Linked DNA regions of Oryzias latipes. The protein of the gene in region 1 purifies or fractionates together with the protein of each later gene. This does not show direct contact. Links are inferred from orthologs where the notes say so. Each region holds a gene or a part of one and is shown on either strand. Other genes may lie near its edges.

Region 1 (2,611 bases):
TGTTACACATACCTGGACCAACTCCTGCAGCTCTCTCTTAACATCTTCCAGACCTCCAATATCATCCCAGGTGATGTTGGGAACTTCAACAATCGTCTCCCTCAGTGCTGATGGGTTACTCTGGCTCAGAGCCCACTGCAAGACAGCACTGATCGGGTTAGCATTGATCCAGCCCAGTGCTAGCTGTGTGTACTAATGGACTACTATATGATTTCAAACGATTCCATTACAGGTTTACCTTGAAGTCATCCATGGTAACAGCAAGTGAGTTCATGACTTCAGCATCGATGGTCTCGTCCTCAAGGTCGATCAGGTCCATCTTCTTTCTAATGGCCTGGAGAGCAGCCTCAGAGCAGAGAGCAGCCAGATCTGCACCTACATGACCATGGGTCTCATTGGCAACCTGCAAAAGACAATCAAATTCACTGTAGAAACCAAAGTTACACCACTATGTAAAAAAAACCTGCGATAATGATTAATTACATTTTAACTTAAAATATTCACAAACTAATAGAAAAAAGAAATTTATCATTTATCAAGAAAAAGGCATCTACTTGAACATGTTGTATTTTGGACAAAAATAAAGGACTTTTGAAGGCACAAACCTGTTCCAAGTCCACATCATCAGCCAGTTTCATGTTCTTGGTGTGAATCTGCAGAATCTCCAATCTGCCGGTTGCATCAGGGATGCCAATATCCACTTCTCTGTCAAAACGGCCTACAATGGAAAGGTGTGAAAATAAAATTGGATCAATGAAAATGAAGAAGTTTACCATCTATCTAAAAACCTAAAATTTATAAGATCATCAACTTAAAAACTTCTAACTTAATTCATTAAATTTGTTGAATTTCTTTACCAGGCAAAACATTGACCTCCATTTTAAAAATTGGAATTCTCTTTTTTTTCTTTAAATCAGAATATGAAAAGTTATTTAATTGAAAATTTATAAATTTGAATTGAATCAAAATATATTTATTTGAATTGAAATAGACTTTTTCATCCTTACTGGGATGACAATAGTTTCTAAAGTGCCAGCAAGAAATTTTGTTTCAACATGTTAGCAGCTTAACTTGCAATGCATTTTCAAACAAAATGAACAAGCCACAGGATTTCTTAAGAAAACCTGGTTTGGAAAAACAATTTGTTTCATTAACAAGAAAAAGTTTCTTATTAAAATGAAACTTAAAAAAACCCAAACATTTAGGAATAGAGTGCAACTTAAATTCTATGGTTGAAAGTAGGTCTGATGTTCAAAAGTCTTAACTGCACAGGATCATTTTAAGTCAACATTAGGGCTGCACGATATGAAGAAAACTCGCGATATGCGATATCAGTGATTAATATTGCGATAACGATATAATTTGCGGTATATAAACAATTAGCAAAACAACCAAAAATATTATTCCCATTCCATTACAACAGCTTAAAAATTATACTACAAATGACCCTTGTTGACATAGGAGGCGAACATACAACATAATAGGGCGCAATCCGATTAGTTAACAACGTGAAGGGGTCCACCTGATTGCTCAAATGCAGAAAGGGATACTTTCAATCCATTAAACACTTCAAGTTGCCATAAGATTGTTTGGCCACATCTAAGGTAACCATTTATTGCAAATTTGCTGTCTTTTGCGATATGCATATTGCACAGCTTGATATTGCGATAACAATAAATTTGCGGTATATTGTGCAGGCCTAGTCGACATTCAAATAATAAAAGGCTGCGGGGTGAAATCTAAAACGAGCGACCTAAGGGCTTCTAAAGACTGTTTACCAAATCTCCTGAGAGCCGGATCGATGCTGTTGGGTCTGTTGGTGGCAGCCATGACAATCACATGAGCTCTCTGTTTCAGACCATCCATAAGAGTCAGCAGCTGTGACACAATGCGCCTCTCCACCTCCCCATGAGTCTGAAAAAGCAGAGTGCCATTAGTAAAATGTGTCTATATTTTTTTTGTCTCAGCTAATCTAAAGCACATAGCCAATACAGTCACTAGTACATGAATTTAAAAGAGAAGATACACAAAGAATTGCTGTGCTTTCAAGGGCCTGAACCTAAAACTCATAGTGCACCGACAAAGTTACCACCCTACATTACTCACCTTCTCTCTCTTTGGAGCGATTGCATCAAGTTCATCAATAAAAATGATGGCAGGAGCATTTTTCTCAGCTTCTTCAAAGGCCTTTCTCAGGTTACTCTCACTCTCTCCAGCCAACTTACTCATGATCTCCGGGCCTGAAATAGAGAGAACGATACTTTAACAAGAAAATATCATTGAACACAACGATTCAGATAAATACAAGCATAGCCAATCAGAACACTGACTTTCAGCATCATCTCACCCATACTAGAAAACTTTACATCCAAACGGATATATTCATACCATTAATAAGAAAGAAGAACGCTCCAGTTTCATTGGCCACAGCCCTGGCGATTAAAGTTTTTCCAGTTCCAGGGGGTCCATAAAGCAGGATTCCACGAGGGGGCTTATTTAAAACGAAAACAAAAAATGTGGGGTGAGAGCTTTATTTAAAAAAAATTTTTTTTTAATTTTAAGTGTACAATCCCATTTATCACACACAAAACCACTTGTGTGATTCAGTACC
Region 2 (4,228 bases), on another chromosome or scaffold:
TGCAGAAAGCCAGAAGACCATAAGAAAAAGTAATTAATCTGGACTTTGTGTAGCCACATCCTGCTCACAGACTAAAATGCTGTTACCACTTTGTCAGAAACCAACTCACACAACTTGGAGACGTGCAACATTCCTCATGCTGCTTGGATGCATAGCTGACATGAAATTAATTTTACACACAGAGCAAATACTTGTTGATGATATGCCTCAAGATAGAACATGATTAGGACTTAACTTTAAGGGTCATGGAATTCTGTCTTAGGTTAATAAAAGACACCGATTTGGATATTTAGTAAAATGACCTTTCATTCAGTGAGAAATCTGGGTACCTTATCTGCCTTCATAAAATGCTGAATAAGATACAAATCCCTAGCTGTAGGGAAGTTGTAGATGTCAGATCAGTGGATTGCAACCAATGAATACATACCTCATGTTGGTGAATAACTAGTTAAATTACAAATTGAAATGTTCGGCTTCCATTGCAGCAGAAATGCAGTTTAGGAAAAAGAAAACAGAAGTAAAAACTAACTTCCTACATATTTTTATTTAAAGACTTGGTTCTTGATTTTAGAACTTTTTTTTTACATTGTTGAGTAATACATTTGATGTGTCTCCATCTAAAGATATCTCATGTAACATTTTTTTACATGTTTTTTCTATTTACATTTCTGGGCTTTCAAATCAGATCAAAACCAACAATTTTTCTATTGATCATGACTATAATAGTGATGTATATTTTAATTAATCTAATAAGGCCATGTTACATAAATTAGAATACTTGCTAATACATACTTGTTTTCTTTCTGGTTCATTTCTGATTTGTTGATTACTTGTTGCTAGAATGTGAGTTGATCATTTGATCGGGGCTGTGGGATCACCCTAATCTGTATGGTAAGGTATCCTGCACTGCAGCCTCATGTGGGCCCCAACTCCTTGTAATCTGGGTGGTCTTGTGATGATAGCCTCTGAGAGCATGAGTGGGATGGCCCCTCCTATGGACAGTTTCCCATTATAAAATATTGTTCCCTCACTTCAGTAACAAGCCAGAACTTCCACCTATTATTATTATTATTATTATTATTATTATTATTATTATTATTATTATTATTATTATTATTATTATTATTAACACTGTTTTCTTTCAAACAAAAAAATCTATTTTTTGTGTTTATAAGTTACATTTTGATTGATTGGTTTTATGATCAAACATGAAAACAAAAGAAAAACTTTTTTTGATGAGTCTTTCGTCAGTTTATTTAAACTTTAAATACTTCTGTACGTTTAAAAAACATGTATTTTAATTTAAGTAATTTTTTAGATTTAATTTAACACAGGTGCTTTGGTGAACGGAGCAACGGCGCCATCTACAGGTATTTCCCTTGCAAACGTATTTCTGCTTTTTGACAAGGTACTTTTTGTTCACGTCAGGCTTCCGTAGCTACCTCCTTCCCCTGCCACCTTCCCGTCATAGTGACAGCATGGGTTCTTTCACAAACTTTATGTCAATGTTTTATTATTAGTTTGTTTTGGTACTGGATTATCGGCTATTTTCTGGATTCCTTTGCCCACATAGACCCCATGTTTACCACCACCGGGTCCCGGGGCCTCTGTAAGTTTACCGGGTGACAAGTTAACTCGAACGCTTCCTTCAGTTCCTCCAGCACCTAAGCTAAGCTAGCCTACTTTAGTATTGCGTTGTCGTTAATTTACTTAATGTGATATCCCGAGCTAGAACCGTCGTGTTTAGTCGAAACAAAGAAAATATCTGATATATGATGATTTGCCTCTTAATTCAATTCTTTATTTCAATAATGTGAATTTTGGCTATTATTAGTTCCACTAATGTGAACTGTGCTACCTACAGTTGTAGGAAACGGAATGAACTCAAACATTAGGCAAGCCCATTTATCACGGTTTAATCGAAAGCGATTGTGTTTTTGCAGACAAGGCTCCTCTGTCCAAAAGCCTTCTGTTAGTCCTCAATGGACTGACTCTGATGCTGATCCTTCTGCCTCAATACCAAGAACTCTTCATCTACAACCTGCAGGCTCTCACACAACAGCAGCAGGTATGTTTGTTTGGGAGCTACACTGTCAAATGCACTGTTTACACAACATCTAAAAACAAATAAAAACATGGAATCATAAGTTAAAATAGCTAAAAAGATAAGAAAGAACAGAAATAAATATAAGAAAGGGAGGTAAACACCTTATTTGTGAGAATCTCCTGAAAAGGTTTAAGGATTGTTTTGATGTCGTTGCATCTATTTCCCTCAACTTTTGCTGAACAAAACTCGTGCAGCAACATCTGAACTCTAGGTAATCCATGGCCTGCTAACAGCTCATATGTCTCCACTTGCCATTTTCAGAAGCTGGTTTTTGAGAAACTGCAGAATAACTGGAAGTATAGTGCAGCACAAACAAGAACCCAAAAAAATTGTTTTTTTTTTTTTTCAAAATATTCCTCTAAACAGAAATATAAATGTTTATTTCTGTACACTGCAAACACGGCAATGAGATTTGTTTCATTAAAAAATAGTTGGATCCATTGATATATATTATTATATTGTGTATATACATATATCAATGGTTGCATCCCTTCTTTTTTTAAATGAGTTTGTTTTGTGTACAATTAAAGTGGTTAGCTATGTACTTTCTATGACGTAGGTACATATACCCTTGTTGGAAATTGGACTTTCTACTTGTTACTGCTCTTTACTCTTTTTATTTATTAAAATGTACCTCTTCCTCTTCAAATGATTTAAACTAGGCCTGCACAATAAATAACAAATTTATTGTTATCACAAAAGACGGCAAAAATTAGCAATAAACGGTTACTTTAAATGTGCTTTAAGAATCTTATACCAGCTCAAAGTGTTTTGCCAATCAAATAAATCCCTTTATGCATTTGACCAATCGGATGGTCATATATCGCACGTTATATTGTCTTTGCAAAATTGATCATTAATATCGCGTATCGCGAGTTTTCCTCATATCGTGCAGCCCTCATTTACACCATGACCACTTTTTGCACATTGATCTCTTCTGTTTGTCTTCAGCTGCTCCAATCTCATTGCATTTAACAATTGTGAAGACAATAAATGATTCTGACAGTTTAGTTTTATTCATTTAGTATTTTTTATTTTTATTTTTTTTGTTTTCACAACAACCCATGTTAACCATGTTGACCTCAGCGTAATAGAAAAAATATGAGAAATGTGTTCTGTGGTCCAATTAGTTTGTGGTTTATTCCACATTTTTAGAGATAATTCTGGTTACTTAACAGGTGTTTTTTTTATATATCTGTACTTCAATTTTCTAACTTTATTTAGTTCAACCTTTTTGTTCTGTTCACTATGATAAAGAACACAAACATCCAAATGCTTTGAAAATTGAACTGTATATGCTTTATGTTTTCCATAATGTTTTTTTTTTTTACATTTTATTTTTTTCCATGTTTTCTAGGTGTGGAGGTTGTTGTGTGGAAGACTTGTCTGTCTAGATGTTAAGGACTGCTTTTGCTGTAGCCTGCTGATTTACAACTTTAGGATCTTTGAGAGGAGGTTCGGCACCAGGAAGTTTGCCGTGAGTGTTTAAGTGGAGGATGCTCTTCCTCACTAAAGTTTCTCTCTTTGGATAGTTTCTCTTTTTTGGGGCAGAGATGAAACCTTGTCTTGAACTCTAGTGCTGGACAAAGATACAAGTTCTTGGTTCTGGGTAGCATTGCAGATTTAGTCTTTCGAAAAACCACCTAAAGATGAGCACAAAACTGGAAAGAAATGACAGATTCAGTCAGTGTGCGGAGAAATTATTATTGAGAACTGTTTTGCAGGATGAGTCTGAGCTTTATTTGCGGTTAAATCTCCAAACCTGCCTTAAAAAAAAGAAGATGATTGTATTTGATGCTGTTCACTACTCCTGTCATCTGACTCTTTGCTGTTTTTGTTTTCAGTCCTTTCTATTGGGCACTTGGTGTTTCTCTGCCCTCACAGACTTTGTGTTGGTTCAGGCTTTTCAGCATCTGTTTGACTATGAAGTGGAAGAACTTCCTGCTGGACTGTGAGTTCATTACAATTCTAATCCATGTGTCACATCTCTGAAAAGCAGAGGTTTTTATTGACAATCACACTTTTGCTAATAAGTTTTGAGCATTGCAGAGTTTAAAGGCACGATCAAATTGTGCGTCAGTTAAAAAAAGACTGCTGTTTCAAATAATCTTTTCCTTCGTC
Region 3 (4,095 bases), on another chromosome or scaffold:
GCTCCCATTTTCTGTTTTTACATCAGCAAATCATATCAGAAAAAAGTTTACACAGATTGCAGATATGTGAAAAGTTGAAATAATCCTCAAAATAGCTAATCCATCTTTCAAATTACATTAATAATCAAAATATTTGTTTAATCCAAATCTTTGAATCCAGTCAGACATTGTGTCAAGTGTTGACAGTTCTCTCCAGTGTCACAATTATTACCAGAGGATGTTTATGAAAAATGTCTTCTATTCCATTAAAAATAAAGAAGGCACAACTTTTGCATTCAAAGAGGTTTATTCTCCCAATAGGCATAGGGAAAATAGGACAAAGCGATTGTAACCCATAGTAAATGAAATGCCAAAAAAAATAAAAAAAGTTATACTAAATTATTGTACATTTGAAGTCTTTTTTTTTTTACATTTGTAGAAAGTTTATAACAATGCAATACAAGCATAAAACAAAGTCCAGAATACAATTCAACATTGTTTTAACTTTCGAAATTCTTAACTATTTAGAACAGAAATATAAGTATTATAATTTTTTTTAAAACAAACTGGTGATAAGGAATAACCAAATAAAACATTCACAAAAGGGATAAAAAAGTCAACTTTAAATTTAGATCATGTTTTGCTGGGTAAAATTTGTGCGTTAGTTTGAAAGGGATTTATTTGACCTTGTTTGTTAAGGTGAATTTTTGTGGTAAAGACCAGACTTTTTTTCCATTTAATGTTAGATATAATATTAGCCAAATAAAAGTTAGCCGATGGAACGGAAACCAAATTATCCTGGAACAAAGCTCTGGTTTTTGAGTTCAGAGAAGCAAAAACTAACCTGAGGAGATTGATTTTTGATTTGATTTTATTGATTTATTTCAAGGATTGTAGTCAAAGCAATAAATAATTTACACATATTTATCAAACTCATTACAGAAATGATGAAATGCATAGATTACAAAGACAGAAAACAAAACAAAAATGTCACTTAAATCACATTTGCTTAATTAAATACAGTGATCATTAACTGAAGTAAGTAGAGTTTGATTTATTGCTTGAAAAGGGAGTGGGAAGAAGCAAGCTTGTATTGGATATATTATTATTATTATCATTATTATTATCATCATTATCATCATTATCAATAATAATAATAATAATAATAATAATAATAATAATAATAATAATAATAATAATAATAATAATAATAATAATAATAATAATAATAATAATAATAATAATAATAATAATATGCACTTTCCTTGAAGTAACCACAGCAAGACTGGAAATTTCCTGTGTTTGGCTTTACCGCCCTCTAGTGTGCAGCCGCGGTACTGCGCTCCACTTGATCGGTTGTGCGCTTGTCAGGGTGCGTTTACACTAAACATGGCTTCTCAGTCTGTTGGAGAGCTTCAAGAAATGGAAGGTGAGTATACATATTTAAAATTTTTGTTTTTGTTGTATCGTTTATGATTGTGTGGGCCCTGTAAATAAGCATTTGTTTAAAGGACCGTGTAAAATACTGGCGTGGCTGTATTTTCGTCGTTCTAGAATACCTTTACCCCACCATGTCTGTTTGGCTAACAAGCTAACTTAGACGTTAGCTTTCGTCAACATCCACGTATTGTATTTAGCGACATAATTTCCCCCCAAGTTTTTCAACAAACATGTTTTTTTAAGTTGAATATTTTTATATGGAAATTAAAATCGTCACGTTTACGTTAGACATATTAGCTTTGAATTTTTCTTGGGATTGTTTGTTAGCTAAACTAGCATGTTGAGCTTTAAATGAGCAGTATTTTAAAATTAGTGCTTGTAAAACATGAAAGACGCCAAAGATATCTTTGTTTTGCAGACTCCTAAGCTTTTGGGTGTTTTTTGGAGTTATCGCTGGTAATTGAGTGTACACATTTGAACTCATTTGATCACCTTTTCCTCCCAAATGCACGACATACTCTAACCTTTTATTAACGAAGATGGCCAGAAACTCGTTATATGCTCCTGGACAATCGAGAAACAAGCCTTTGTGTCAATAAGATAAGAGAAAGAAGAATGTTATGTGAATGTCAGTCCCACATAACAGAAATAAATGTCTTTAGGATTAATAAAGCGTTTTTGTTGTTGTTGTTTTGGTCTGCTGTAGTTGACCGAAGGGGTGATTCTGAAGAGTCCGGGGATGATGAAAGCAGGAGGAAGAGTATTAATGGCGATGTGGACCCCAACCAGCCCTCCACAACAACAAGTGAGCAGCAGACACACTTCACACAGTCTGACATTCAGAAGCATGCCACACGGATTTAACAATGTATGCATATACATATCTGTCTGTTTAGATGAGTAGGTATTAAACAGGGGTACCTGGTGAGGCTTCATATTTAAACACAAAATGATTTTAGTAATTCTAATGAAGAACCAAATGATCAGAATGTAAAATTACATTTTGGAGTATTTCTTTTTTCAAATCACTGTGAATCATAAAAAAGGAAGCGTATTGCATTCCATTAAAAACTTTTGTTTTGTCATGTATTAAAAAAAAATATGAAGAAAAAAAAACATGGGTGATCTTTATTCAAATCTTTTCCATGATTTTTATTCTAATATTTCTACAACCAGGCTGAGCTCTAACCTCATCTGCTCATGAAAACCTTAGGATGACCTGCAATTATAAGTTGAAAATCCACAATGTGTCCGTCTAATAGACATCATATGTTTTGTTTATGTGCCCAATGTTAGGTTGGGGTTGTGAGGAGCTTTAAGCTAGTGGGGGGAAGAATGCAAAGAAAGGGATGATGGGAAATGAGTCCAGGCTCGCCCACGCTATAACAGGGGATCATAATTTTGCAAAAGGCAAATTTCTGATGAACTCCTGCTGCTCTGCAGAAACTGTCCTAAAAAAAAACGACAGGTTTTTGATTTAGCCTAAAAACGGCATAATCATAAATAAAGACCCTTTGGATCAAAAGTTGATTGGAGTGGAACTTTAAGAGCCCTTTATCAGCTGAGGTCATTTGTTTAGATTTGCTTTTCTTTAGATGCTAATAATGGAAAATGTTTTGGGTTTAGGCAGTAAGTTTATTTTATTTTTTTAAGATCTATGTGTTTTCTGTAAAGGTAAAGAAGAGTCACCGGTTGACATGGACACCATAACCTTGGACCCAGAAGAAGAGGTAAGAAGCCTTATTCTTTAAAAAAAATATATATATATAATAAAAAGGCAAGCTTCTTCAGTCATCTTTTCTGGAATCATTTGATGTGATCATAGATGTAAAAACTACCACATGTTTTTAGCTTTCTACACTAAATAGAAAAAGAGAAGGTGTTTTTATTTGTGTTTTGACATGGAGGACAAAAGCTGTAGTCAGTTGTTGTTTTTTTTCCCTTCAGGACGTTGATCTTGTTCATTGTCGCATTGGAAAGATTGAAGGACTTGAGGTTTTACAGAAAGCTAAAGTAAGTCTTTCCAGTTCACTTCTAATGACACATTTAGCTTTTTACTGCACATACATTTTAGTCAAATAAAATAGCATTTACAAGTAAGGATACATGTTTCCCTTTCTGTTTGGCTTATTTCCTTTCCCCCCCCCCATTCTTCTGATTTCTCAGACGCTCTCCTTACGACAGAACTTAATCAAAAAGATAGAAAACCTTGAGAGCTTGAGCTCACTGCGAGAACTAGATCTCTACGACAATCAGATCCGAAAACTGGAGAACCTGGACAACCTCACAGAGTTAGAGTAAGTTAGGAAAAAACCAAATGTCCTGCATACCGATTTTTTTTTTTTTTTATTCATTTAATTCTGAAGATACTTTCTTGAATGAACCCACAGGCAGCTTGATGTGTCGTTCAACATTTTGAGGAAGATTGAGAATCTGGAGCGATTGACTCAGCTGAAAAAACTGTTTCTGGTTCACAACAAAATCACCGGCATTGCCAACCTGGAGCACTTCAGCTTCCTGGAGATGCTGGAGCTGGGCTCTAATCGCATTCGGGTATGAAGGGATGGATCTTTGCAGCTCTGAGGTTCCTTTCTCACACATTTATGCCATTTGACTTTCTTCACAGGTCATTGAGAACCTGGACGGCCTCACATCTTTGACGAGTTTGTTTCTTGG
Region 4 (3,968 bases), on another chromosome or scaffold:
CAGACAGAGTATTTACGCTCTGGTGGGGCAATGATCTGTAGGGAGAGGAGGAGAGTTGAGAATGAGCCCCTTTTCCCCAAAGGAACAATCCAGACGGGAGACTCTTCAGAAAGCTCACCTTGATCTTCATGGTGGATGGGGCCAGGGCTGTGATCTCCTTCTGCATTCTGTCTGCGATTCCAGGGTACATGGTGGTACCTCCAGACAGCACAGTGTTGGCGTACAGATCCTTACGGATATCAACATCACACTTCATGATGCTGTTGTAGGTGGTCTCATGGATACCGCAGGACTCCATACCTGGAAGGAGATTAAATATTAGCATGGGGCACTCTGGGGTCTGTACACAAGTCTTTGGTTGAGGTACCTACCAAGGAAGGAAGGCTGGAAGAGGGCCTCTGGGCAACGGAACCTCTCATTGCCAATGGTGATGACCTGTCCGTCAGGCAGCTCATAGCTCTTCTCCAGGGAGGAAGAGGAGGCAGCGGTGCCCATCTCCTGCTCGAAGTCCAGGGCGACGTAGCACAGCTTCTCCTTGATGTCACGGACAATTTCCCTCTCGGCTGTGGTGGTGAAGGAGTAGCCACGCTCCGTCAGGATCTTCATGAGGTAGTCTGTAAGGTCGCGGCCGGCCAAGTCCAGACGCAGGATGGCGTGGGGCAGAGCGTAGCCCTCGTAGATGGGCACTGTGTGGGTCACACCATCACCAGAGTCCATGACGATACCAGTGGTACGACCAGAGGCATACAGGGACAGCACAGCCTGGATGGCAACGTACATGGCAGGGCTGTTGAAGGTCTCAAACATGATCTGCAGAGACAAAAAGCACAATGTTAGCATGTTACAAAGCAGCAATGCGACCACTCCACTCGCTACATGCATTAAAGTGGGGCTCGATCTATAGTTAGTACATGGTAAACATTCCTTCACACTTGTGCATGTCATTTTTAGGTGCTGATCTGTTACTCTAAGCCTCAAAACACAAGTGCAGATACAAGGCAAACTGTCAATAGACCTTTTGATGAAAGCTCATCTTATAGGAAGAAATCCTAGAAGAGGAGGATGGAGGAAGTATGAACAGAAGGAAACCAAGGTGAAAAGAGTATACATGTGCTCCACTGTGAGGTAAACGGGTACCTGGGTCATCTTCTCCCTGTTGGCTTTGGGGTTCAGGGGGGCTTCAGTGAGCAGGACAGGGTGCTCCTCAGGGGCAATTCTCAGCTCATTGTAGAAGGTGTGGTGCCAGATCTTCTCCATGTCATCCCAGTTGGTAACAATACCGTGCTCAATGGGATACTTCAGGGTCAGGATACCCCTCTTGCTCTGGGCTTCATCACCTACGTAGCTGTCTTTCTGGCCCATACCCACCATGACACCCTGAAAAAAAGTTTAAATTTACATTTAGTAAATCTGGAAACTTTTAAAATTAAATAGTAAAAAATTATAAAGGTAAACAGTTAGGAACTAACCTGGTGCCTGGGGCGACCAACGATGGAGGGAAAGACAGCACGAGGGGCATCGTCTCCAGCGAATCCGGCTTTGCACATGCCAGATCCGTTGTCAACAACCAGTGCGGCAATGTCATCATCCATGGCTAAACTGGAAAACAAACAAATAAGGCGTTAACACCAAAGACACGCCCATCTGCATCTGCTTTGCAGTCAGATGTCCCATTTCCTGTCAGGGAGCGGCAGTTCCCCAAAGTGTCCGCTTGGTGGAGGTAGAGCGCTACATTCCGAGCCCAGACAAAAGGAAGTGGTGCTGCATTCTCTTGTTACCATATAAGGACATAGTTCGGTTTTGAGCAGCTTTGCGGCTACCGGCAAGGCACGCGGCCAAAGTACAGCAAGAGGGGAGGGACTTTAGACTATCGGACCCGGCGACGAAAGCCTACTCCCACTGGTTCATTACAGCTCTACTTTGTCAGCGTTCCCTCCCATTGTTGCACAAGACTGAAAAATTTCTTAATCACTGCGTCATAATTTGTGCGAAGTCGTTGCTGGCATAAAGCACCACGACCCGTCAAGCTTTAGAAGGAAATTAAAACGTGTGCGAGCCCATGACTGATTAATCATTTCCTGAAAGCCACGCCTTTTCTTGAATGAATGATTTGTCATTTGCCCTTTTCTTCGCCGTCAAACTACAGTTACATGCTCAATTTAATCGAATACTTTTAAAATGCTTTAAGGGTTATTACATTTTATACAAACAAATGTATAACAGTCCCACCCCCCTACATGTGAGGAATCAGAGTCAAGTCTAGAAGGGCGTGTTAGCATGAAGCTAGGCTAATATGCTAAAGTAGGTCACACCCCGTAACGGCGCACAAAGGGACCCGCCAGGATCCAGACACCCTCAACTCGGACGGGTAACGTCCGTAGAAGGACTCGAAAAATTCCCCCCACCATGTAAGATACGAATAGTAATTTTTATTTAGTTGCTTATATAAAATATACAATTAAAACCAAACTGAAAAGCCATTTGCCGGTTACAATCAATTGGCACCTGTGCGTTTAAGTGGCTAATTTTGGTACAACTTGATTGATGCCAAAACAAACAAAATTGTCAATTTTAAAAAGATAATTAAAAGTTTAACCATTTCAGGCCTAAAAATAAATTTAGTGGCCACAAAATTCTGCTAATGGTCACCTCCAATTAAGAATTAAACTGCACAATTAAACAATCGTAAGGTTTCCAAAACATTTGAATTAAACCAAATATCGTCTCTATCTTACCTTTGGGTGGGGGGCTTTTCGTTTCAAGGGAATCGGTTTCAGGCGAATGATATCCCGCACAAGCTGTGTGTGACGGCGCTCAGAGTGAATTTGCTAGCCGTGGGCACGTGGTATTTATAGTCCGTCCGTTGCCCGGCTCTTTCCATAAAAGGTAAACTTTCGGAATCGCGGCATGTGATTGGTCCAGCGTCACTCACTGGGGCACGTCGGGTGCACGCTGTGGTGCACTGAGCGTAGAAAGAGGGAGGCGATAACAGTAACGGGCTGGGGGAAAATAAAAGGATAGGGATTGATGTGAGGCCTAATCTAAGGATATAATGTTTCTTGAACAAATATTAATACATATAGAGTTTACAAAGTTTCAAATATATATAAAATATGAACCTGTATAAAGCTTTCGAGCAAGTCCCCCTGCTTATCTGATCATTCAAACAGCAGAGCACAGGCTGCTCCTCCCTGTGAATACTTTTCCTCTTAAAACCTGTCTCTCAAGATTTCAGTCTGGAAATGCAAGATATGTTTGATGCAATTTGAGGACAATTACAATGTGGATGTTGCTGCACACTCTGGAAAGCAGAATGCCACCTCAGATGGAGTCAGAGACCCTCCAAGCCAAACACATGACTCACAAAAGACACTATGGACTGTAAAAGTGCCCTGTCAGAGGATGGACAATAACCACTTTTCCCACTAAGCAATGGTAAAAACTCAATCTCACTAATACCAATTGACCATGTATGGCATTAGTCTGGATTCTTGTTAACTTCTCAGAGCTCTTGCTACTTCCTCTTTCCCCTACAAATGAAGAAAAAAGGTCCACATAAGAGGACACTAAGGCTGACTTGCATCTACTTTTAGTCATAAATGACCTATTGAGTGAAAATAACCACTGTCAGACCCAACCCATACGCTACTATACATTCACCTTAATCGATTAAACTCAGAGAGAGACAAATAAAGTCACACATGCTCTTATTTCCTCTCTGTGGTTTACTGCAAAGGGTGTAACTTTCCTGACTTTGGGTTTTATAGGCTTAGGGTTCTTTGCTTTTACCTTACTTGTCTTCCATTCATTAGTTTCACAGTTTATTTAAACTTTTTTTGCTCCAGAAACATAGCTGCCCATACAAGTTAAATAACCCAGAGGCCATTTAAACATGTCACTGTCTGCGAGACACAAGCAGCAACTACTTTTCTTCCTCTTGTACCACTTCCTCTTCCTCGCTCTCAGTT
Region 5 (4,243 bases), on another chromosome or scaffold:
AGGGAGCGTCTGAGCTGCGGTGGTTATCCAGGCGGGGGGGAGCCCCACAGCCCTCCCCAGCGACCAATGAACCTCTAAAAAGAATCTCATGGTTCACAGCTGATGTCTGCCACGCCCACAAGAACCAACGGCAGCATGGGGGCAACAAGCGTTGGGTGGACAAAGCGAGCGTGAAATGGAAAGTTAAACAACTGCTGCAAAATGACTCATCTTTAGCTAATGTTTCTGTTGCTCTGGCGACAACTTACAAAACCCTAATCAACCAAATGTGGGGAAACTTCTGAAAAAAGGTGCAACACGAGCTTCCCACTCAAATGTAGTAGAGAATTTCAAACAAACCTTTATTAGCAAAGGTAGCAGAACAAAAGAATTTCATCGCTGACGTTCATCCAGAGTGATCAATGTCACACCAACCGAAACCTGTGACTGAGTGAGCGACGGTTCTGAAGTCACTTCGGATCCAGGAAACGGCTCCAGGTCCACAACACGAGGGGGAAACCCCCCCCCAGATGTTTCAGATTGTGTATTTGGACGCCATGGCAACCGTTGAATAGAAAATAAGAAAAATGTTTAAGTATTGCAGATGAGGCATTTATTCTTGTTTACGCGAGCATTAGCCATGATTTCCCAGGAAGGGGACGAGTGCAGTAACAATGCCCCCCCCCCCCCCCCCCCCCGTCTGATGTGGAATGAGGTTAGAGACCATCCTCCAGCATCATGCAACCAGCAGCCGCAGTCTGAATCAGCAAATTTCAACACCAAAGAGAGAAATCCTCCTCTGTAGAAAAAGCCTATAAATGTAATACATGTGTACCAGATAGCAGAAATGTGTCGTTATTTTCTCACTAAAAGAAAAGTGTCACCAGAATTTCTACATGTTATGGAGGATGGACCAGGATCTTTCAAATGGGATCCCAAAACCACAAACCAAAGAAGCCTGCTTTCATGGGTGGGGGCGTGGCCTTCCAACAAGCTCACTCCTGATTGGAGTCAGACTGCAGGCCTTAAGGGCCGTTATCCAGCAGGTTTTTCAGAAATCAGGTGTGTTTAGCCAATAAGGAGCTTCAATTTCAAGTTGATGGGAAGACATGTGGGACACAGGCCAACGAGGCCTGGAGTCTGACACTTAGAGTGGTTGCCATAGAAACACCGATCAATTCAGATCAACTCTACGTCTGCCTCCAACATGGCGCCGTCCGTTTCACAAAAAGACAACAAGAAGGCGACTGGAATTCCTTCAATGGGTTTGAGCCAGAAGTGAACCTTCCTGCCTCTCCATAATCAGAGGACGATCAGTTTGCATTTACACTGAAGTGAACCACACCAGAGTTCATCTGCAAGTGGATTAGATCATCTTGCCCTGATGAAACCGGATTCTCTAATTGAACAGTTCTTTGGGTTTAATACATCCCCACTTGAACCTGGAAGCGCTTTCACGATTCTACAGGGTTTGACCCCCCCGGCAGTGACGGGTTCTTCCGGGTTTCCAGGATATTCCTGATGTTTTGCACATGGCCATGATCCTGGATCAGGAGGGATCAGCCAATCAGAAGATGTTGATCTTCTATTCTGTCAAGTGGGTTTCACGGACAAACCAGGAGGGACGGTTCAGGGAGCAGACGTGCCGCCACAGACGCACATTCTTCTCTTCCCACTTCAGTTCAGCACCATAAAGCGGATCTGGGTTCAAATACACCAGAGGTTCTGCTGACAGAACCGGAAACTGTTGGCTTGGAGGACCTGGAAGGGAAAGGTGAAGCTCTGAGCCCAGAAGGCCACGAGCCACTTTGACATCTGTTCTCACGGCCAACAGCCATCTGCCATTTTTAACACGGAACGGCCCGGGAGCTCCCGCAGTCACGCGGGTCTGATCCGCGAGGGGCCTAACATAGACGGGACCAATCATTTAACGTGCTTCCGCAGAAGTGCGTGGAGATCTGCACGCGCGGCCCGCAGACAAAGACCACGCCGCGGGAACGGCGACGGAAACGGCCGACCCGCGCGCTCTCTTTCCGGGACCGCGCTGACACGCGCCCCCGAGGCCTTGACAAATTTAACCGGGATTCACGTGTCGTGCGCTGTCCTGGTCCATTCCGATCTAATCCGGGACAGCTGGACGGGCCCACCAACCCCAAAAGACGAATTCTGACGGGGGGGGGGGGGGGGGGGGGGGGCGCTCAGCAGCCCCAGCACGTGTCCCGGGCGGTGCTCGTCCACGCTCCGATCCCGACGCCGAGGCCACAAAATGACGCTTTTAACATCCAAAGACGCGTAGAAACGAAGCTAACTCTGTTTAGGGAAAAGGTGAATTTACCCCACGAAAAATAAGGAAAGAAAGCTGGAAAAACCAGAGGGGGGGGGGGGTGTGCTAACGAGGGCTGCGGCTAATTCCTGCAGCTCAGAGTAAAACCAAGCCGTCGTGGGTGATTTGTAACAGCAACAATTTCATACATATGTCGGAAAAAACCCATTCCGGACTTCTGATCGCGATTAAAAAGCAAGTATAAACGTTTAAATCGGATTTCAGCGCGTCCGTCTATAGACCGCGCGACAATGTCAAAGGAAGCTAACATCAGGATGTAGATGGAGCCCGGATGAGCCACCACGTTAATCCTATTTTCATTCTAGTTTCACTTTCTGCCTGGATTCAAACAGTAGGTTTGACATTAAAACTTACCAATGAGTCAATAGTTTTTGGAAAATGTATAAATATATTTTTTAATCTATGGACTTCGACGAGGCGCTGGCGCGGCTTCGCGGCGTGCTGTAGAGCCCGGGTACCGGTTTCACCTCCGCAGCCAAATCTGACGTCCCTCCGTATAAAGAAGCTTCAGCCAATGAAATGACGCATCCACGACCCGCTGACCAATGGGGTGAGAGAATGGCAAGCCTCCCGCGCATCCAGCCAATCGCGAAGCTCCCTCTATTCCAAGGGAGCCAACCACCGCGCGGCGGTGGCAGAGGGTGCGATGGTTATACCGACAGGCGTATCCCGGCAGATTCTCTACACAGATGTGCACCAGCGGCTGTCCACCGCGTGGAGGCGACAAATGCGTTCAGAATCAGTGATTTTAGGTCGCCGTGAATTTTTCATCCAGAATTATCCACCGTCATCAATCAAAGGGGTTCGAATGCGAGAGTGCTTTAGCTTTAAAATAAGCAGGTGGGTAAATGTAACGCCATTGAGACTGAAATGACTGCAGACAGTCAGAGCAGACTGGAAAAATGTCTGCTCCTGTAGTGCACTAAAGAAAAACGTGTAGTGCACTAAAGAAAAAGAAAAGTTCATCTTTTTAGTCATCTTTTAAAAAGACAAACTAAACACATAGAGCTACTGATCCCATGACTAAACTGCTGCAGATGTTTGAGCCTCAAACCACAATATGGCTGTCATGATGTCAGCACAGAGACATCAGCTTAAAAAAAAAAAAGAGCTGATATTAAATTACAGATGTCTTCCGTTGTTTCCTCTGTCAGAGTCAGGGGGAGTTTTTCCTGCTGGGGCACGCTGGGTTCACGCCGCTGTGCATTCTTGCTGCTGAGGGCTGGATGAGCAGGTACAGATGGTAACTGGGTGCTGCGTCTCTCCCTCTGCCGTCTCCCAGGGGACCACGAGCAGCTGTGAGCGGTCGCTGCCGGATGCCGTTTGCTCTGAGAGGACTGCATGTTCGGCACAGGTTTGCTGCAGCCCTAAAAGGTTACTTTTCCCACTGTTTGGAAGACGTTTTAAACATTTATACTCTTCAAATGATGGGGGAAAAACACACATGGGGTTTATTTGTGAAAACGAATAAAACCTGGAGTGTTGGGTCTTGAATGGGGGAAGGAATGCCGGAGCTCCTAACATTGAAGGTTAGACTGGTTGAGATGTTGCACAGCTCCTACAGACAGCAAACAGAATCAGGCAGCACTCAGACGCAGATGATGGATGTGGTGGCTTTGGCTTAAATGCTGAACCGTCTGCAGATAATTGAAGCTGGTGGTAAATTTAAAAAAAGAGGCTGGGAAATGTGCAAACAACGGTTTCAGTTTAACAGATAAGATGGAGGCTGACAGACACGATGTTCAGTTAACTGGATGTTCTTTCGTCTGAGTTTTAAATGGGTCACGATCCATCATGTGTGTTGAGTTCTGTCAGGAAACGAGATCCCGGGGGAAATCCTGAGACGCTTAGCAGCAGCTGCTGCAGGTAAACATGGAGACATTGGTTCCTGAAGGAAGGTTCTGCAGACCGACGGACGGA

Evidence for each region.
Region 2: the proteins of vcp (region 1) and ubac2 purify together in Homo sapiens (affinity purification with mass spectrometry; 3 studies listed by BioGRID and IntAct, with this or other methods). This does not show direct contact. The link is inferred for Oryzias latipes from reciprocal best matches to the Homo sapiens genes VCP and UBAC2.
Region 3: the proteins of vcp (region 1) and ppp1r7 purify together in Homo sapiens (affinity purification with mass spectrometry; 3 studies listed by BioGRID and IntAct, with this or other methods). This does not show direct contact. The link is inferred for Oryzias latipes from reciprocal best matches to the Homo sapiens genes VCP and PPP1R7.
Region 4: the proteins of vcp (region 1) and actb purify together in Homo sapiens (affinity purification with mass spectrometry, with the first as the bait; 3 studies listed by BioGRID). This does not show direct contact. The link is inferred for Oryzias latipes from reciprocal best matches to the Homo sapiens genes VCP and ACTB.
Region 5: the proteins of vcp (region 1) and g3bp1 purify together in Homo sapiens (affinity purification with mass spectrometry; 3 studies listed by BioGRID, with this or other methods). This does not show direct contact. The link is inferred for Oryzias latipes from reciprocal best matches to the Homo sapiens genes VCP and G3BP1.

What each region holds. Positions count from the first base shown.
Region 1 is NC_019867.2:13,580,823-13,583,433, reverse strand, and holds part of vcp (transitional endoplasmic reticulum ATPase), read right to left. Parts: intron 2,492-2,611; coding exon 2,389-2,491; intron 2,241-2,388; coding exon 2,107-2,240; intron 1,915-2,106; coding exon 1,779-1,914; intron 719-1,778; coding exon 606-718; intron 404-605; coding exon 239-403; intron 136-238; coding exon 13-135; intron 1-12. UniProt on the Homo sapiens protein: Necessary for the fragmentation of Golgi stacks during mitosis and for their reassembly after mitosis. Involved in the formation of the transitional endoplasmic reticulum (tER).
Region 2 is NC_019873.2:18,567,776-18,572,003, reverse strand, and holds the start of ubac2 (ubiquitin-associated domain-containing protein 2), read left to right. Parts: upstream 1-1,424; 5' UTR 1,425-1,578; coding exon 1,579-1,609; intron 1,610-1,943; coding exon 1,944-2,068; intron 2,069-3,464; coding exon 3,465-3,584; intron 3,585-3,951; coding exon 3,952-4,058; intron 4,059-4,228. UniProt on the Homo sapiens protein: Restricts trafficking of FAF2 from the endoplasmic reticulum to lipid droplets.
Region 3 is NC_019875.2:24,805,743-24,809,837, forward strand, and holds the start of ppp1r7 (protein phosphatase 1 regulatory subunit 7), read left to right. Parts: upstream 1-1,291; 5' UTR 1,292-1,368; coding exon 1,369-1,408; intron 1,409-2,125; coding exon 2,126-2,224; intron 2,225-3,093; coding exon 3,094-3,149; intron 3,150-3,366; coding exon 3,367-3,432; intron 3,433-3,585; coding exon 3,586-3,716; intron 3,717-3,809; coding exon 3,810-3,972; intron 3,973-4,045; coding exon 4,046-4,095. UniProt on the Homo sapiens protein: Regulatory subunit of protein phosphatase 1.
Region 4 is NC_019866.2:19,166,912-19,170,879, reverse strand, and holds the start of actb (actin, cytoplasmic 1), read right to left. Parts: upstream 2,805-3,968; 5' UTR 2,736-2,804; intron 1,600-2,735; 5' UTR 1,593-1,599; coding exon 1,470-1,592; intron 1,378-1,469; coding exon 1,138-1,377; intron 811-1,137; coding exon 372-810; intron 301-371; coding exon 119-300; intron 36-118; coding exon 1-35. UniProt on the Homo sapiens protein: Actin is a highly conserved protein that polymerizes to produce filaments that form cross-linked networks in the cytoplasm of cells.
Region 5 is NC_019868.2:28,987,199-28,991,441, reverse strand, and holds the start of g3bp1 (ras GTPase-activating protein-binding protein 1), read right to left. Parts: upstream 2,805-4,243; 5' UTR 2,678-2,804; intron 1-2,677. UniProt on the Homo sapiens protein: Protein involved in various processes, such as stress granule formation and innate immunity. Plays an essential role in stress granule formation.